Mus musculus: one gene and its partners. The protein of the gene in region 1 purifies or fractionates together with the protein of each later gene. This does not show direct contact. Links are inferred from orthologs where the notes say so. Each region holds a gene or a part of one and is shown on either strand. Other genes may lie near its edges.

Region 1 (5,693 bases):
TCCCACACAATTCCCCCCACCTTCCACCAAAGATAGACATTACCTTACATTTGTTTTAAATGATGTTTCTGGACTTAGGGAAAGGAAAGACCAGATAAAAATGAATCTGTATGTAAATTGGGCCTGAATCTAGTGCTGTAACAAAATCTGCATACATAATCCCCAGGATTGGACAGGTAAACGTCACTAACTTGTTCATAGACGGAAAGTTATTTCCAATGATATTAGAAAATATCTGCTTCCAGGAATCTTCAAGAAGATGAGAAGATGGGTGCATGAGCAAAATAGTCCTCTACCACAGCCCCCAGTTAGTGATCTAATTGTATCTTCTCTCAGAATTGGAGGGTTTTCTGGAACTCAGGCTCAGGTCAGGTTGGCAGGGGATTGAGAGTCTAGAGTTGTGGTTTCTCTGCTTAGTATATTTGTCATCCTTTCTTAGTCTCCTATACTGACAAAGATCAATTGTCAAATGACCCAAAACATTCCTCTAGTGATGAAAAGAATAGTTTGCTTTTGATAGTGAAGCTTAACATGCAACAAATGAAACAATTTTAGAGAGTTACTGTGGCCTGTTGGTGAAGAAAACAGAATACTATTGTTTGGTGTGGTGAGAGAGGTTTCTAGCTATATTGTGAAGGATGGTCACTAAACTACTTTTCTAGAACTTGTTTAGCTCCTACTTGAATGATTGAAAGGAAGAAGAATCCTTACCAAGTTTTTGAAATGAATTCCAAGTGTTTGGTGAGGAAGTCATTTTATTAAGGAACAATTAGTAGATTAAAATATCTGTGACGAAACAACACTGTAATACCTGCTCTGGGTCTCCTTTCTATGTCTTACATCTGGATAGGAAGACAACATTTGCACTGAAAACCCCAAGACATGCCTGGAAATGTGCAGAGTACACTCTGATTGGATTAGCATGGGCCACAGAATAGAATGCATTAAATGGATGCACTGAGGACACATAGTATTCATTTGCAAACAGACATGGGAGCTCAGAAAGAGCTCAGAATTCTCACCTTATAACTCCATTCCTGGACCATGTTGCAACAGTATCCTTTTGAGGGTCCTGAACAAAATCCAGACTGACTTGTGAAAATGAGTTCTTTCCCAGGGTTTGCATTCTCATCAGAGGACTTGGTGGACTCAATGAATTCTCTGAGTATCCTGTATGTGAGACAGTTATGCTGTAGTTTTGAAGTTGAGTGAGAGCTTAGGGTGGACTGTAAAGGCAACCTTCAAGATCAGAGGGTCTCCAAGCAATGTAATTTTATCCATCAGGATAACCTGGCATAAGGTGGTGTGCCCTAATTGTTAGTTCCTCCATTCTTGGGGTGCTATTTTTACACATTCCCAGAAGGGAAGAAAGGAGTATTGTTCGTGGAGGAGAAAGTAAGACCTGAGAGTATGGGCTGTGGGAGCTGATTATAAAGACACAACATCATATACCTCTGCTAGACTGCACCAAATAGGGGTCACTTACGCAAATAAGCCCCTTCTCCTCCCTCTAGGTGCAAACTGTCATAAGAACAATTTCAGAGGTTGCCAGAGAGGAGTGGACCGTGTGACTTTCTGATCCAGATCGGAGCTGAGAGTGTGACTCTCAGATACACGGGTCTATGATACATTGTATCCTTTTGGAGGTCAAGCATAAACTCTAGGCCACCATGTGGGAATGAGCCTCTCCCCAAGCTTTGATATCTGGGTTCCTGGGAGTTTTAGAGTCATTTTGTGAGATTCATGAAGCCCAGAAGCTGCCTCAGTGCTGACTTGCGGAAAAGAGCCCCTCCCCAACCCTCTTGCATCCTGGGACATTGAGGATTCAGAGCCATTTTGTGAGATTTACGGAACCCAGAAGCTGCCTCAGTGCTGACTTGTGGAAAAGTGCCCCTCCCCAACCCTCTTGCATTCTGGGACATTGAGGATTCAGCGCCATTTTGTGAGGATGCTGGAGGCGGTCTCGCCACACTTTCGGTGTTGAGGTGAGTGCTTCTGCTGAGGTGAGGTGGGTGGAAAAGACCCCTTTCAGGATGGATAGTGTCCACATAATGCAGTTTAACCCATTTTGTTAGACTGGCACCAAGTGGGGCCACTTGGAGGTTCCCATAAGAATCCTACTCTTCGAGGGTAACGTCCCACTGGACCGGAGAGTGGCCTGGGGAAGCGGCACACCTAGCACAGGGAACTTCAAATTGTTAGCTGCACTCCTGTGGTGAGCAGTGTTTTAAATAGTGGGCCAATGGTATTTTTGAGTCCTCTGCCAAGTCTGTCACATATGGAAAAATGATGTTTAGAGGTCTTTAACACAGATGGCAATGTTCTTTTCAGAGTGTATTTGGAAATTTTAAGTGGAATGCAGACGCTTCAGTTGGGATCCACTAGAAGTGCTCCTCTCACAGAACTCAGCACCTAGGAGCCATTTAGGAGTTTCAGGTAGAGGAGGAGCACCAATGTCTTTCAGTCATGGTGGGAACTAGGTAGAGAGTTGCAGAAGTCCCACCCTAGATCGAAAGGCAGGGATAGTATACCAAACCATGTCCTCTATATAGTCCTAAAAACCTGGCTGAAGTACAGAAATAAGTTCCCTCTCCTTTAACAGCCACCACCAGATACCTGGAGTCCTTGAAGTCATTTTTGTAAGGTCCTGGAGCTTTGAAGATGGTCCAGGTTCTGACTTACAAGAGTAAGCCCTGCCACACTACTCTTCCATATCCATATCTGTGGCTGTGAGGATCTGGACCCTTTTTGTAAAGTTCCTAGAGAAGAGATGGCCATGAAAAAGCTTTTATGCTTTGTAAGCAAGTAATGTTTACATTCTGGTGACAGGCTCTCCAGTCAACGCAATTTAACCCCTTTGATATCATGTAGGCACAGAGCATGAGGCACTTTCCACACTTCTACTTCCTCATCTGGGGACTTGGGGACTTAAAGATGCTTGTAAAGTTCCTGGAGGAGAGACAACCATTAAAATTGATGAAGGTGTACTTTTGAGACATTTTCTGCGTAGAGGGTACTCAACACATTCTGGCACCCAGTGAGGTCCACTTTTAGAAATGAGTCCCTTGCACTTCAGATCTTAGGCTTCCACATTCTCTTCAGCTATGGGCAAAGTAACCTGATGTAGTGCACCTTTGCTTCAACCTGTAAGGTATGAGGGAGGATCAGGCCTTGTTCTGAGGTAAAGGCCTCAGATCTGTAGAGGTAAGGCAGGCACCAGATCCCTGAAGGACGAACAAGGAGACCCCTGATACTATCCATATAAAAGCTGCCTCTGTTGTGTGTTCACACTAATCTGGGGAAGACTATGAATTATGTTTGGGTGTAAGGTGGGGAGCAAGGGTGACCTGGGCCTGAATGATAGATGTGAGGGTCAGCAGGTACCTTGTTAGAAGTAAATAGGAAATCCTTCAGAATCCCTAAGACAAGAATGGACTCCTGATTCTTCCACCAGTCTTGAGAAACACTCCAAGAGTGTTCAGATGTCCTTCTTAACTTCTGTGTCTTTCAGGAAGTTGAGACTGAGTAAATGGGATTACCAGAGAAGCAGAGAGAGCCACACCTGGTTACCAGAGTAGGTGTATAGTATCTGCCGGCAATCAAGGTGAGTAGACATGGTAAGAACTGAACATCTGAAAGTATACATCATCCTCCATACATGGTCTGCCCTTGTTCTCCTGCGTAGGATGCCCTGGAAGTGTGGTTGTTGTGGCTGCATTTCCTTTCTGCCTCTGGACTAAGGAAAGGGGGTCTGAGGGATGTGAAGACCTTGGTAGTAAGGTCTTCAGATGTCAAATAAAGAGGAGAGCCCCAGACGAGCCAGACCCCAGGCATGGGCCTCTTGTGATGACTGCATGTTTCTGCAGCCAGAAAGAAGGGACTGTGCTGTCTGCCTGTGTCCTGGGACCAGCTCTTGGGGAAGCTGAATGACCAGCTTACTTAAACTAATTCAGGTGGGAAAGAGGGACATAGCTGGGAAGAGGAGAACTAGTATAAAGTGAGCCTGTTGGGAAGGACAGATCAGATAGAGATGCTGCATTAAATGGACACAACATGGTCTGGGCCATGCATGCATCTCTAGGGATCCCACTCAACATAGAAGCAATGGGACCACCAGTTCAAACATTCTGATTATTTTCATGATCTCTTGGTGTTGAGGGACTTGTTCTGAGTGTGTGACCTTGGTTATTTGCAGTGGTTCCATGATCTATCATCAGAGTAGGTGGGAACCCCAGGGGATGTTGAAAGTAACTCCAGCTCAGAGCACAGACAGAGGACCCACAGAAGCTTATCTCCTGTGACTCCCATGTTCCAGGGCAGGATTGTCAGATCTCTTTTCTTGGTTCTAGGACATTGGTCTCAGAGATCTAAAAACCCTGGTTAAAGGAACCCTGACTGAAGTCATCAAGGGAGGCTCTCAAGTCGGCCAGGACTCAAGGTAAGAACTGAGTAAGTCAAGTCACCTATACAGATGGGGTCCAGCGCCCAACTACTCTCCTGCCAGCTGAGGGAACCCTATGAAAGAGAGGCATATCCCTACTCTCCCTCTTGTCCCCTCCCTTTCTCTTTCCTCTGTCTCAGTGGAGTGGGCCTTTGCGTAAGACATGTAGTCTCAACTCATCACAGGAAGCAGAGCCATAAAGCTAAAAGTTGGGCAGTTCCCCACAGTTAACTAGAACACCTTTTGCAGTTGCCTTGAATAGTTGCAAGATGGAGGCACCTTCACTGCCTTTTCAGAGAGGAGGCAGTTTGTTTCAGGGATTTGCCTTAGGACAGCAGAAGGTTGGGGTCCAGGAGTTTGTTTTAGGCCAGTAGATGAGATGGAGTCCAGGCCCTGACAGGAGACAAGGGAGGACCCACAGTGAACACACAGGGAATTTGAGAGTTGTCTAACTCTTCACAGTGCAGTTCAAGCTCCTATATAGAATGGGGATCCAGTATTAGCGTTGCAGTCTATGATTGTGGGATGCCTCATCCTCTCTTACAAGAGCTAGGTAAGGATCTTTATCTGAGGTGATTTCATCGGGGGAAGCCCAGGCAAGGTCTAGAGTAAAGCTGAGGTGCAACCACAAATATGTCACATGTACCCCAAAACTCTTTGCTTAGCCTCATGCACACTTCTGGCAACCCTGAAGCCTCTACTCTGCCCCAGTTTCAGTATGAGGAAACTTGTCACTACTCCCCTCTGTCTCTCAAGAGACAGACCTGACAGGGAGATAGGACTGCTTGTTGCTTTAGAATACACATAATAGAAAGATTGGCATTTTGTGAGCCTTTCCAGTGGAGTAACTGTCAACAATGAATAAATACTTCTACTGTCCCCTTTTCCCCCTAGGTCTCTGGGTCTATATCTTCAAGCTCCTGCCTGGTGTTCAAGACTAGACTTATCATCATGCCTAGACCCCGGAAGCGTAGGAGATGTATGGTTGAGGGACAGCCTGAGGCCCAAAGTGTTGCAGTTACAATGGAAGAAGATTCCTCCTCATCCTCTTCTACTTATTCCTCGTCTTTCCCTTCTTCCTTCTCTTCTACCTCTTCTTCCTATGCTCTAACATCAGGCAACTCAGAGGAGGGCTGTGCTGCTTCTAGAGCATCAAGTCCTCATAGTCCTCCAGGAGCTGGCTCCTCCTGCACTGCTATGATTTCCTCTCCACGTAGCCAGGTCAGTGCAGACTCTGAAGGTGAGGACAGTC
Region 2 (5,054 bases), on another chromosome or scaffold:
AAGATAATACCCTAGTGTGCCTCTGAGTCAGCTGTCTGTACCAAATAGTTTAGTCCTCTGACCAGTTTCATATATTAAAACGAGAAATTGGGAGCTGGCAAGATGGCATGTTCAGGTAAGTGCATCTGCTGCCAAACCCAATGCAAGTTTGTTCCCTGGGACTTGCGCATTGTAACATTTTTTAAAGACTACACACACACACACACACACAGAGAGAGAGAGAGAGAGAGAGAGAGAGGGGGGGGGAGAGAGAGAGAGAGAGAGAGAGAGAGAATGTAATCTCAAAAAAAAACAAAAGACAGAAAATAGGGAGAGAAGAGAACATTACCACTTGACAGTATAAGAAACTTTCAGTCCCAGCAACCAGAAGGGGGAGACATGCAGATCTCTTTACGTTCAAAGCCAGCCTGATCTACCTAGCAAGTTCCAGACCAGCCAAAGCTACAAAGAGGGACCCTGTGTCAAAGAAAAAGAGGAAAGAAAAAAAAAAAAAAAAAAAAACAAGGATGTCCCCGCCTGTCCCACTGCAGACTCACCGTGCTGGGAGGAGGAGGACCGCTCCAGCATGGACTTGTAGAGGTTGCGGAAGGACCAGCTTAGGTCCTGAAAGTTGATCTCTGAGTAGGAGAATTTGAAGTCATGGTTGGTGTTGTAGAGGGGAGGGGCGCCCTCTGTGCTCTCCTGGCCTGGGGCCCCTGCTGCCACTGCTCCACCATCCACAGACCCTGGGCCCTGCAAAGACAGGTAAGAACGGTGACCTAAGCCTTCTAAGCAGCATAACCCACCAGGGTCAGTCAGGTCTGTCCTCTTCACCGTCTCCAGCTGGCCAATGGCACAGCATCACCGGCTCTTCCCGCTCTCATTGGCCATCTTGAACCTGGCTTCTACATCACTCTCCATTTCTTTTCTACAAGCCCTTCCCTAGTGCACCTCCATGCCTCTCTGCACCTCCTTCCTTCTGGCTGGGTTTTCCTCCTTTGCTTTTTCCTTCTTTCCCAATCTATCTGCCTAGCACATGACAAGGTACTCAATATGCAAGTGAACGGCGTGATATCCAAACCCACTGAACCATCCGTCCAATTACCCTATGCTTGTCATCTCAGCTTCCTACCTGGCTGTAGTTGGCCACGGAGGAGGGGCTCTGAAGTGACATCTGAGGAGTCCCCTCGTGAGAGAGTGAGGCTTCTCCACTCCCTGGAACACCTCCCCGGGGGCTTTTGCTGGCTTCCTGCTCTGGGGAGTCTTGGGATAGCTGAGAATTGTGAAAGAAGAGAAAAGCTGTATGCAGGGTGAGGCACCCACCCACGAGCCAGCTTGTGGCTCCACCTTGCTGGTGCTAACCCGCATTTAGTCACAGAAATGACTAAAATCCAAGAAAGAGCTCTCCCAAAGAAGAGAGCACTTACGTCATCATCTGGAGGGTGTCTTCTCTTCCGGGAAATGTCAGGGCAGGTGTCAATTGTCCAATAGGAGCCCTGGAAGGGGAACCCAACCCCACGGGAAAGAGAAGCATTACCTATAAAGTTCCTGTTGGAAAGAGCCTCTAATAGCAGTCATGCTGAAAATGGGGTGGGGCTCGGGAATGTAGCTCAGTGGCAGAGTGTTTGCCTAGCATGGTGTTGGATTCCCCAAGACAGAATAGAAGAGAGGAGGAAGGAAGGAAGATCAAGCAAGAGAAAAGAGAAAAAGGAAAGGGAAGGAGGGGAGAGAGAAGACGCCAGGCTAGACCTCCTGACGGAATCCCAAGGGAGCTGAGTGCTAGCGAGGAGTAAATCTGCCCTCGGAGGTCACAGAGCAGTCCAAACACTAGCTTCAAACGTTCCAAAGGGGCAGAAGACTAATGTCAGAGACTATGTCAGAGAGCTGAGAAAGGCCAGAAAACCTGGTCCCTTCCCCTACGACCTGAGGCAAAAGTGCCTTAAGCGTTAGCATCTGTCAAATGGGAAGAACCTCTCCCTTCTCCCGTTAAGGTCAGGCCTGAGACCACACAGAAAAGCTTCCGAAAGGTTAGCGAGCAAACTGGCGATGTTGGTACACACCAGTAATCCAGCACTCAGGAGGGACTAAGGCAGGAGAATGACAAGTCTGAGGCCAGTCTGGGCTACACAGTAAAACCTGTCTCAAAAACAAAACAAAACAAAACTAACTAAGCCAACATTTTACATGTAGAAACAAGTGCTTCTCAAAAGAAAGGGGGTCCCGCCAGCCTGGGCTACAGAGTGTGAGACTCTATCTTTAAAAAATTAAAAGGCTGGGCATAAGGACATGCCTTTGCTATTTGTTTAGTTTTGTTTTTTTTTTTAATTTTTTGAGACAGAGTCTCTCTCTAAGGCCCTGGCTATCCTGGAACTCTTTATGAAGACCACACTGGCCTCATAGTCACACAAATCCACTTGTCTCTGCCTCCTGAGTGCTGGGATTAAAGATGTGTAATACCACACCTATACTGATGTATGTCTTTAATCCCACCACTTGAATCTATGAGTTGGGGTTAGCCTGGTCTACATATAAAGTTCCAGGTCAGCCAGGTCTACATAGTGAGAAGAAAGAAAGAAAGAAAGAAAGAAAGAAAGAAAGAAAGAAAGAAAGAGAGGGAGGGAGGGAGGGAGGGAGGGAGGGAGGGAGGGAGGGAGGGAGGGAGGGAGGGAGGGAGAGAGAGAAAGAATCTCAAAGACAACTCCATCATAAACATTCCTATTAAAACAAAAAGATTTCATAGTCTTCCTTAGTCTCCCACTCTAGGAAAGACCCAGCAGCTTGGCAGCCATGCTCTTCCTCTGAGGAAAACACAACGATGCTTCTAAAGCTAACATGGTTTCCTCCCTGGTCATCAGCACAGCCACCGGACTCTGAGTGTCACCTCTCCTTCCTCCTCCCTTTGATTCCTGCAGCAGCGACTCACCTTCCCAGGGTCATCCCGAGGTCTGGGCACCTTCCGGAAACACTTGTTAAGGGAAAGGTTGTGTCGAATGGAATTCTGGGGAAACAAAGAAGCAAGTTAGGTCTGAGCATTGGGTATGCCCCAGTGTTCCCCAAAGGGACACAGAAGAACATAGTTCCAGGGCCCATTGCAGCACCTCAGCCTGTACTGCGGGAGGGAGGGCTGCACAGAGAGCAGAGGGGTGAGGGGAGAAAACCACCGAAGTCAGAGGTGACGGTGACCAGGTGATCGTGAAAAGTTAACTTTACAGCTTTCAGCCTTCCTGCCAAATTGACAACGCATATATAAATGCCTCAAGCCAGAAGGAGCTCTGAATTTGAGGTTAGCCTGATAATAGCAAGTTCCAGGATAGCCAGAGTCACATGGTAAAACCCTGTCTCAAAAAATAAACAATAACAGCAATAAAAATAGCCAGACATGGTACCCCACACCTGTAGGCTCAGCACTTAGGAAACAGAAACAGGAGAGTGGCCACAAGTTGGAAGCCCCCCTGGTCTATATCACAGTGAGTTCAAGGGCAGCCAGTACTGCATAAAAAGACCATTTCTCTAAATAAGCTGTGTGTAGTGCATGCCTTTAATAATCCCAGCTCCCAGGAAGAAGAGGCCAGTGAATCTCTGTGAGTTTGAGTTGAGGCCATTCTGTTTTACACAGTGAGTCAGGACAACCAGAGCTACATGGTGAGATTGGGTACAGTGGGGGAAGGCTGCTGATGAGCTCATGAGATGATTCAGGGGTGCATAGTGCTTGCCGCACAAGCCTGGGGTACCTGAGCTCAACCCCTGAAACCCACATAGATGGAAGGGAAAGAATCAACCCTATGGAGTTATCACTTCACCTCCACATGCACATTGTGGTGCACACACACACACAAACACACCAGGCATACATACACACAATAACCATAATGAATTTTAAGTAGGAGCTAGGGAGATGGTTCAGTGGATAGAGTTTGACACCGATCGTGAGATGTAGCTGACCACACCTGTAATCCCAGAGTTTTTAGGATTAGATATGAGGTAGGCATAAGAATCCCTGGAAGATCACCCTAGCCAGTCTGGCCCCGCCTCAAACCTGCTAGAAGACGAACAGCATACCCTAGGCTGACCTCTTAACTTCCACAGCCACATGTGGTATGTATGCACTCACGCTTGCACACACATCCTAAACATGCATATCAACAAAAGCAGAAGAGCAGTATTTTACACTGTTTACATACATTAAACAAGGCAAAAACTCATGCGTATTCTACAGCGAGACAGCTCACTGAGCGTGAAGAATAAGTTAAACCTCCGGCACCTACATAAAGGCATGGTCCGTCATGCCAGTGTTAAGCACAGGGAACTCTGCTGTTGTCCTACAGCAAATGGGCGGCAGACACAAGACAGTGCCCAGAAGCTCACAGGCCAACGGGCCTGCTATATATACACAGTAGTTAACAACATTAGAGACCCTGTCTCAAACAAGGTAGAAAGCAAAGACCTACACCCGAAGTTGTCTGTCTTCTGACCACCACACGGGCTTGGGGCACACAACCTTATGGCATTCTTCCACCCTCACTAACAGGCAAGACACGTAAATGAATACAACAAAGGCTAAAACAAAAGAAACCTCAGGAGTGAAACAAAAGCACAGACAACCTTCATTTTCTCAGTAACACTCAGAACGACATCTGGGGAAAGGGAAAGCCGCAGTGCGCATGTGTCAGTGCGCAGAGAGCTGTAGCCTAGAGGGGCACAATTTACCACCGGAAGACTGAAAGCTTTCAACAGCCTCAGTTCATCATCTGGTTTGAAAGTCAGCTGGTGATTTACGGAGTGAGAAAACCACATTTAATCCCCATTCCTACTCAACAGTTGGCAAATGAGTGACTGTTCCAAATGATTACAATGAAGCCTGGCTTGGCAATGCATACCTGCCATCCTAAGCATAGGGAGGTCAAGACAGGAGAATCAGTAGTTCAAGGTCAGCTTCAGCCATATCGTGAGTTCCCGGCCAGGCCAGCCTGAGCCACACATGACACTGTCACAAAATAGACAATGTCTGCCAGACAGACAGATCTTTGTGGTTTGTGTGTTTTGGTTTGGGGGGGGATGTTTTTTTGTTTGTTTGT
Region 3 (5,759 bases), on another chromosome or scaffold:
CTTGAACTCAGAAATCCACCTGCCTCTGCCTCCCAAGTGCTGGGATTAAAGGCGTGTGCCACCATGCCCGGCTGAGCCTCACCTTTTTTAAGCCAGCACAGGTGCTATTTACTGTGGACAAACCATCTTACCCCCAACTCACCAGAGTAAGCAACAAGGGGACCAGAGGGAAAGGCAGGGAGGCAGGAGCCCGCTCACCTTAGAGTCTCCCAGCAAAGACCAGAAAAGGAGGCCATGGCATCCACACCCACAAACACCACCATGAAATGGCCCGTGGCCTCATCTTGCTCCTCCTCACCCCGGGGCTGAGCACGTGAATAACTGAGCAGCCGGCTTCCAGTGCCTTCTGAGCTTTACGGTGCCTGAAGAAGGTGGCCCTGCCGGGACTTACCGGCCATGACAGGGTAGTTGAAGTGTTCTGCCGCCGGGTCCAGGTTGACCACCTGGACAGATCGGTTGAGGGCTTCACAGTGCTGAACCATGGTGGAACAGTAGGTGCTCTGTAACGTGACAAGGTGGGGGGTTAGCACCCAAGGCAGTAGCGTACCGCCCTCCACATGCCCAGACAATTCTCCCCTCTCTGAGCCAGTGTCCACCCAAGCCAAACTGCACCTCCAGGGAAACCCTGGGAAGGCGATGAGACCAGAGCTGCAGATCTAGATGCAGGGCGTGGGCTCAGGATGTTTCTTTAACACAGTCTACAAATTAACGTAGGTTACAGAAATGACCTCCTCCACGCTCCACGCTTCCTTTTGACAGCCTGTTCTCTCTACCTAGGACAGCCCCACCATACAGATGCACTGTAACTGACAGGTGAGCTGTGTACCTTCCAGATCAGATGACAGGCCCTGTGGAGTCACACAGCCATCTCTAGTACTCTGAATATTGTATTTATTAAATATTAAAATGATACAAACACCTCTATAGACTCTAGGCATCCCTCAAATGTCACCATTGCCGTTTCTACTGTGCTTAAGTGTCCTTAGCATCATTCTCTTAATATGTACACAAAGAAACACTGTATCACACAAAAAAAATAAATATAAAAACTAGAGCCAGGCAGTGGTGGCAGACGCCTTTAATCCCAGCACGTGGGAGGCTGAGGCAGGCGGATTTCTGAGTTCAAGGCCAGCCTGGTCTACAGAGTGAGTTCCAGGACAGCCAGGGCTACACAGAAAAACCCTGTCTCAAAGGAAAAAGAAAAAAATGCCCACAAACAGTGCATATCTACAAACTTATCTGAAACCCATACTCCAAACTTCTGAGAAAAAGGGAAGAAAAGACCCCATACTGGGTGCGTGGCAGGGGGCCTTGTCTGGAATTAGACAGGGGAAAAAAAACCAAAAAAACAAAAAGACCAACAACCCAGACTCAGATTCCGGGGCGGACCTAAGTAAGCGTATGATTTTGAACAAAATAAACCTTTCTGTGTTTGTAATCTGTAGAATGGGTATAGGATCAAGCACACAGAATGGATATGAAGACACCTGGAACGACCAGGGCAGTTCCTGGAGCAAAGGTGTCCTGCAGCTCTGTCTGGGTGCTGGACAGAACTGAAGTCTTTTGGGAGGACAGAACAAGCTCTTGAGCGCTCAGCCCTCTCTCAAGCCGCTCAAGAGCTATTAAAGCTGCTATCACTCCCAGACAAACAAAAAAAAAAAAAAAAGCAAGGTACAAGCAGAGAGCAGGAAGCCGTATACCCAGGGTTTCCCCGGAGCCCAGCCACCCACGCACCGCAGCTCCTCCAGGCTCACCTTCCCGCTGCCCGCGGGGCCCATGACGAGCTGCGCATATCGAGGCATGCCGCCTCTCCGGGGGTTTCACACACAGCCGACGGCCACACTCCCTTCAGCCTTCGCGCGACAGCCACGGCGTTCCGGGGAATGTGCGTAGGAGCCAATCGCAACCACAGATCGCTCGTTCAGCACGGGTATTTACTACACCATAGACTACGGAGCGTCCCCAGGGCCAAAATGCCTTCCGAAACGCGTGCCGTGCTCAGAGAGGAGGCGGGGACACGAGTTCGTTCACGCGTGCGCAGAGAGAGAAAGAGAAAGAGCCGAGAGCCGTTATCGGTTGGGCCTCCGGCGAAGGCGGTTGCCTAGGTGATAGCGGATCGCGAATTACGCTCCGCGCCCCCGGGCCGCAGCACCGGTGCTTGGGTTTGACACATAGGGTGACAACCGAAGGTCTGCAGGTCCTCTGAGGGTCTAGAATACTGAGGTGGATAAGGAATACTTGCTTTAGGGTGCGTGTGGATGGATTTGCCCTGACGCGTCCTTGTCAGCGAGAGATGCCCAGGCGCAGGAGCCTGGTTACCTGAGGTTCCTCCGCCCTCGGGTCTACAGCTCCAGGAACTCGGGTCTTCCTCCGCACCATCCGGCGGCCACTTGAGCAGGGTCGGAGTGGGGAGAGCCGGAGGCCGCCGACTCAGAGCCGGTGTGGTGCACGCGTGTGGACGGGATGCCGAGCCGTTGGCCCGGGGTCGCGGGGCCGCCCGCCTTGGCCCGGACGGAAGGCGGTGAAGGGTGAGGCGGCCTTGGGAACCCCTGCCGAGGAGGCGCGAGACGGGGGGGGGGGGGGGGGGGGGGGGAGCGGGCTCTAGCGGGGCTCGGCTGCCGAGGCGGCCTCGGAGCAGGACAGAGACTGAGCTTTCGGGCTCCTAACCTGGCGGGGAGCCGAGGGTCCAGCCGCCTCGGGCCTGGGAAGGTTTTAACTGTCCCCTAGATGGCTGAGGACAGTTGACTTCTGATATCACAGCTGGATGCCATGCTTCCCTGTCCCCCTCCTGGCCTCCTTCCTTAAAAAAATCAAGAGGCGGGATGACTGGGATCCAACTAGGCCCACAATCATGGCTCTTGTAGAATCTGAATCCGTGGCCATGAAATAAAAATATATTTATGTTTATTAAGTACATTATTATTAAATGTACATTTTATTGTAAATATATATTTGGTGCTAAGACTTTTTTTTTTTTTTCCCCGAGACAGGGTTTCTCTGTGTAGCCCTGGCTGTCCTGGAACTCACTGTAGACCAGGCTGGCCTGAACTCAGAAATCCACCTGCCTCTGCCTCCCGAGTGCTGGGATTAAAGGCGTGTGCCACCACTACCCGGCTACAGGAATCAATTTCATTTTTTGAAAAAAGTAAAAAGACCAGATCCATGATTGGAAACAATTAACAAACCAGCGTACTAGTTCCAGCACAACGTAATTGTTCTTTCCAGGACAGAAATTACTTCTATTAAAGAACAAGAAAGATATCATGTGGCTAAGTACAGGAACCAAGCAAACTACAGGCTTGATCTCACTGTAGAATTAGACTAGGACGCTATGAGACCAGATTTACCTAAGTCCTTTCTGGTAAAGTAAATATTAGACTAGGGATCCAGCTTGGTGGTAGTAGAGCACTTGTATAGTGTTGGTTAGCCCTGAGTTCTATCTCCCAGTAACATACACACACTCACACGTTCATCCTAGTATGCTAAAAATCTGACCACTCACTTAGAAAAAGCTGTATTCTTTTTTGTAGCCAATCTAGAGGAGAAACTTGGTAAGACATTGATGGAAACAGGAAAAAGTCAAGAGCGTGTGCAGCTGTCTCTGTTTTCAGACATCCAGTCCAGCTGGGAGTGGTGCCGCACGTCTTTAATCCCAGCACTCTGGAGGCAGAGGCAGGCGTATTTCTGAGTTCGAGGCCAGCCTGGTCTACAGAGTGAGTTCCAGGACAGCCAGGGCTACACAGGGAAACCCTGTCTTGAAAAAAAAAAACCCAAAACATTCAGTCCTCAGTGGCTATGAGGCTGCCAGATTACATTATGCGTGTTCTTTGCTAACAGATCAGCTGGACATTCTTATCCCCAGAATTCCAAGGGCACTGGCGAGCAGCATAAAGCAGGTAATGCATGTGGATTACAGATTTGAGAGAACCCAGGTTCCCTGTAACTAAGTACACAGTGCAGTGTTACCAATCGGCAAAATGGCACAGCAGCTAAGGACACTTGTGGTCAAGCTGGACGACCTGAGTTCAGTTCCCCCAGAACCCACCGGGTAGGCGAGGACTCTCCTTTTGAGTTGTACTCTTTTAAGAGTTTCAAAGATGAGCTCTTTACCTTTTGTTAATATATAATGATTTTTTTTAAAGTACCAGTGAATTGTAAAAGAAATATGTTTAGAATTAGCAACGGTTGGAAAGTGCAGGGCTTTACACCTGTTGTTTACACATGCACTATTGGGGAGAATCCTGCATGAACAGCTTCGGAAACCATAAGCTATTTCACAGGAAGCACTTTCAAAATACCACTTTGCTGATCAAGTTAAGAGAGAGAGGAAAAGAAAGCCTCTAAGGGCCTCTTAGTAACTTTGCAGGCTAAGGGTTAAGGGGAGGTCGGGTGTGCTGGCCTTGGTGACATGGGTGTTTGTGCAGGGGATGCCAGAGGACAATTCTGTGGGTCACTTCTCTCATTCCGTTTGACAGTCCAGGGACTGAGGTCAGATTGCCAGACATGCTGGGCACATCCTTTCCCATCTTGTCAGGCCTGCAGCTCATCTTTATTGCACTGAACTGCTGATGAGGGATCCCGAGTATCATTTGGTGTTGATTCCAGATGTTTGTGCTGCACTTTAAAATAAAGGGCATACTCTATATTCTCTCAAAATGTAACTCTGACTTAAAATACTATAGCTGCTTCAGGATAATCACTGGTAGTCATAAATATGTATTACTAATAATCTTTGTCTCAGAAAGTCATATAATTAATGTCTTTGCCTACAGACAGAATCAAGGAGGGACACAGAGTGTACGCACACATTGCCAAACTGCAGGAGTTATGGAAAACTACTCAAATCCAAACAATTCATATCCCTAAATCAATGACAGATGCATCTTTTCTAAAGGTAAGGCAGAATTTTAAATTTTGACTATGGTGTGTGTGGAGGTCAGCGGGAAGCTTGTGAGAACCAGTTCTCTCCTTCTACCCTGTGTATCCTAGAGGTCAAACTCAGGCTGTCAGTCTTGGCAGCAAGTGCTTTGCTTGCTGAGCCATGTTGCCAGCCCCTGAAATGTTTCTGAAGGATGCCTGATATCAGGTCCAGGGTCTCAGCATCCGAAGCAAGCTCAGCGACCAAGCTCTGGGTCCAGAACTTGTGTCTGAAGATAAACTATGTAGATAGAATTAAGGCTCTGTAGTCTTCATGGCATACGTGACATTCTGTCAGTGAGTCCATGAAGGGAGCCCCTTGCAGAGCTGTGGTGGTGTAACACTGTGGAGCCTGTCCACTTCTTTTTCTTCTAGCTTTGGACACCCTTTTCTTGACTCTGGGCATCTGTACTTGTGCACATCCCCACATGCAGACATACAATTTTAAAAAATTTAGGTTGGAAACTAACTCACAGTATGTTCCACAGACATAGTAGATATTTTTCTGCTTCTGGAAAAGATGTCTCTTTAGTGAAACAGAGTAAACTAAGGTGCTTTCAGGTACCACCATCTTACACATCAAAAATCATAGTAAGAAGGCAAGGGCAGGGGAGATGGCTCAGCCGGTGAAGGTGCTGGAGACCAAGCCTGAACCTGCACGGAATTCCACACAGAGGAAGAAGACAACTAAAAGCTGCAAGCTATAGCCCCACCTTACACACACACACACACACCTTACACACATCTTACACACACACACATGCACACGACACAAAATCAAGCAAGCAAGCAAGCTGTCCAACTTGAGAAGATAGATAGGGGCAAAAGCTTATGGACAGAGA

What was found.
Region 2: the proteins of Magea10 (region 1) and Foxj2 purify together in Homo sapiens (affinity purification with mass spectrometry; 3 studies listed by BioGRID and IntAct, counting the BioPlex papers as one, with this or other methods). This does not show direct contact. The link is inferred for Mus musculus from reciprocal best matches to the Homo sapiens genes MAGEA10 and FOXJ2.
Region 3: the proteins of Magea10 (region 1) and Fam216a purify together in Homo sapiens (affinity purification with mass spectrometry; 3 studies listed by BioGRID and IntAct, counting the BioPlex papers as one, with this or other methods). This does not show direct contact. The link is inferred for Mus musculus from reciprocal best matches to the Homo sapiens genes MAGEA10 and FAM216A.

What each region holds. Positions count from the first base shown.
Region 1 is NC_000086.7:72,383,086-72,388,778, reverse strand, and holds the start of Magea10 (melanoma-associated antigen 10), read left to right. Parts: upstream 1-1,920; 5' UTR 1,921-1,985; intron 1,986-3,510; exon of another isoform or gene 3,511-3,511; 5' UTR 3,512-3,604; intron 3,605-4,349; 5' UTR 4,350-4,438; intron 4,439-5,335; 5' UTR 5,336-5,392; coding exon 5,393-5,693. UniProt on the Homo sapiens protein: Not known, though may play a role in embryonal development and tumor transformation or aspects of tumor progression.
Region 2 is NC_000072.6:122,829,359-122,834,412, reverse strand, and holds part of Foxj2 (forkhead box protein J2), read right to left. Parts: intron 3,037-5,054; exon of another isoform or gene 2,978-3,036; coding exon 2,903-2,977; intron 1,476-2,902; coding exon 1,407-1,475; intron 1,253-1,406; coding exon 1,112-1,252; intron 733-1,111; coding exon 537-732; intron 1-536.
Region 3 is NC_000071.6:122,368,652-122,374,410, reverse strand, and holds the start of Fam216a (protein FAM216A), read left to right. Parts: upstream 1-2,068; 5' UTR 2,069-2,463; coding exon 2,464-2,528; intron 2,529-3,837; coding exon 3,838-3,896; intron 3,897-4,772; coding exon 4,773-4,894; intron 4,895-5,759. Other genes in the region: Gpn3 (GPN-loop GTPase 3), read right to left, coding at 392-500, 1,755-1,802.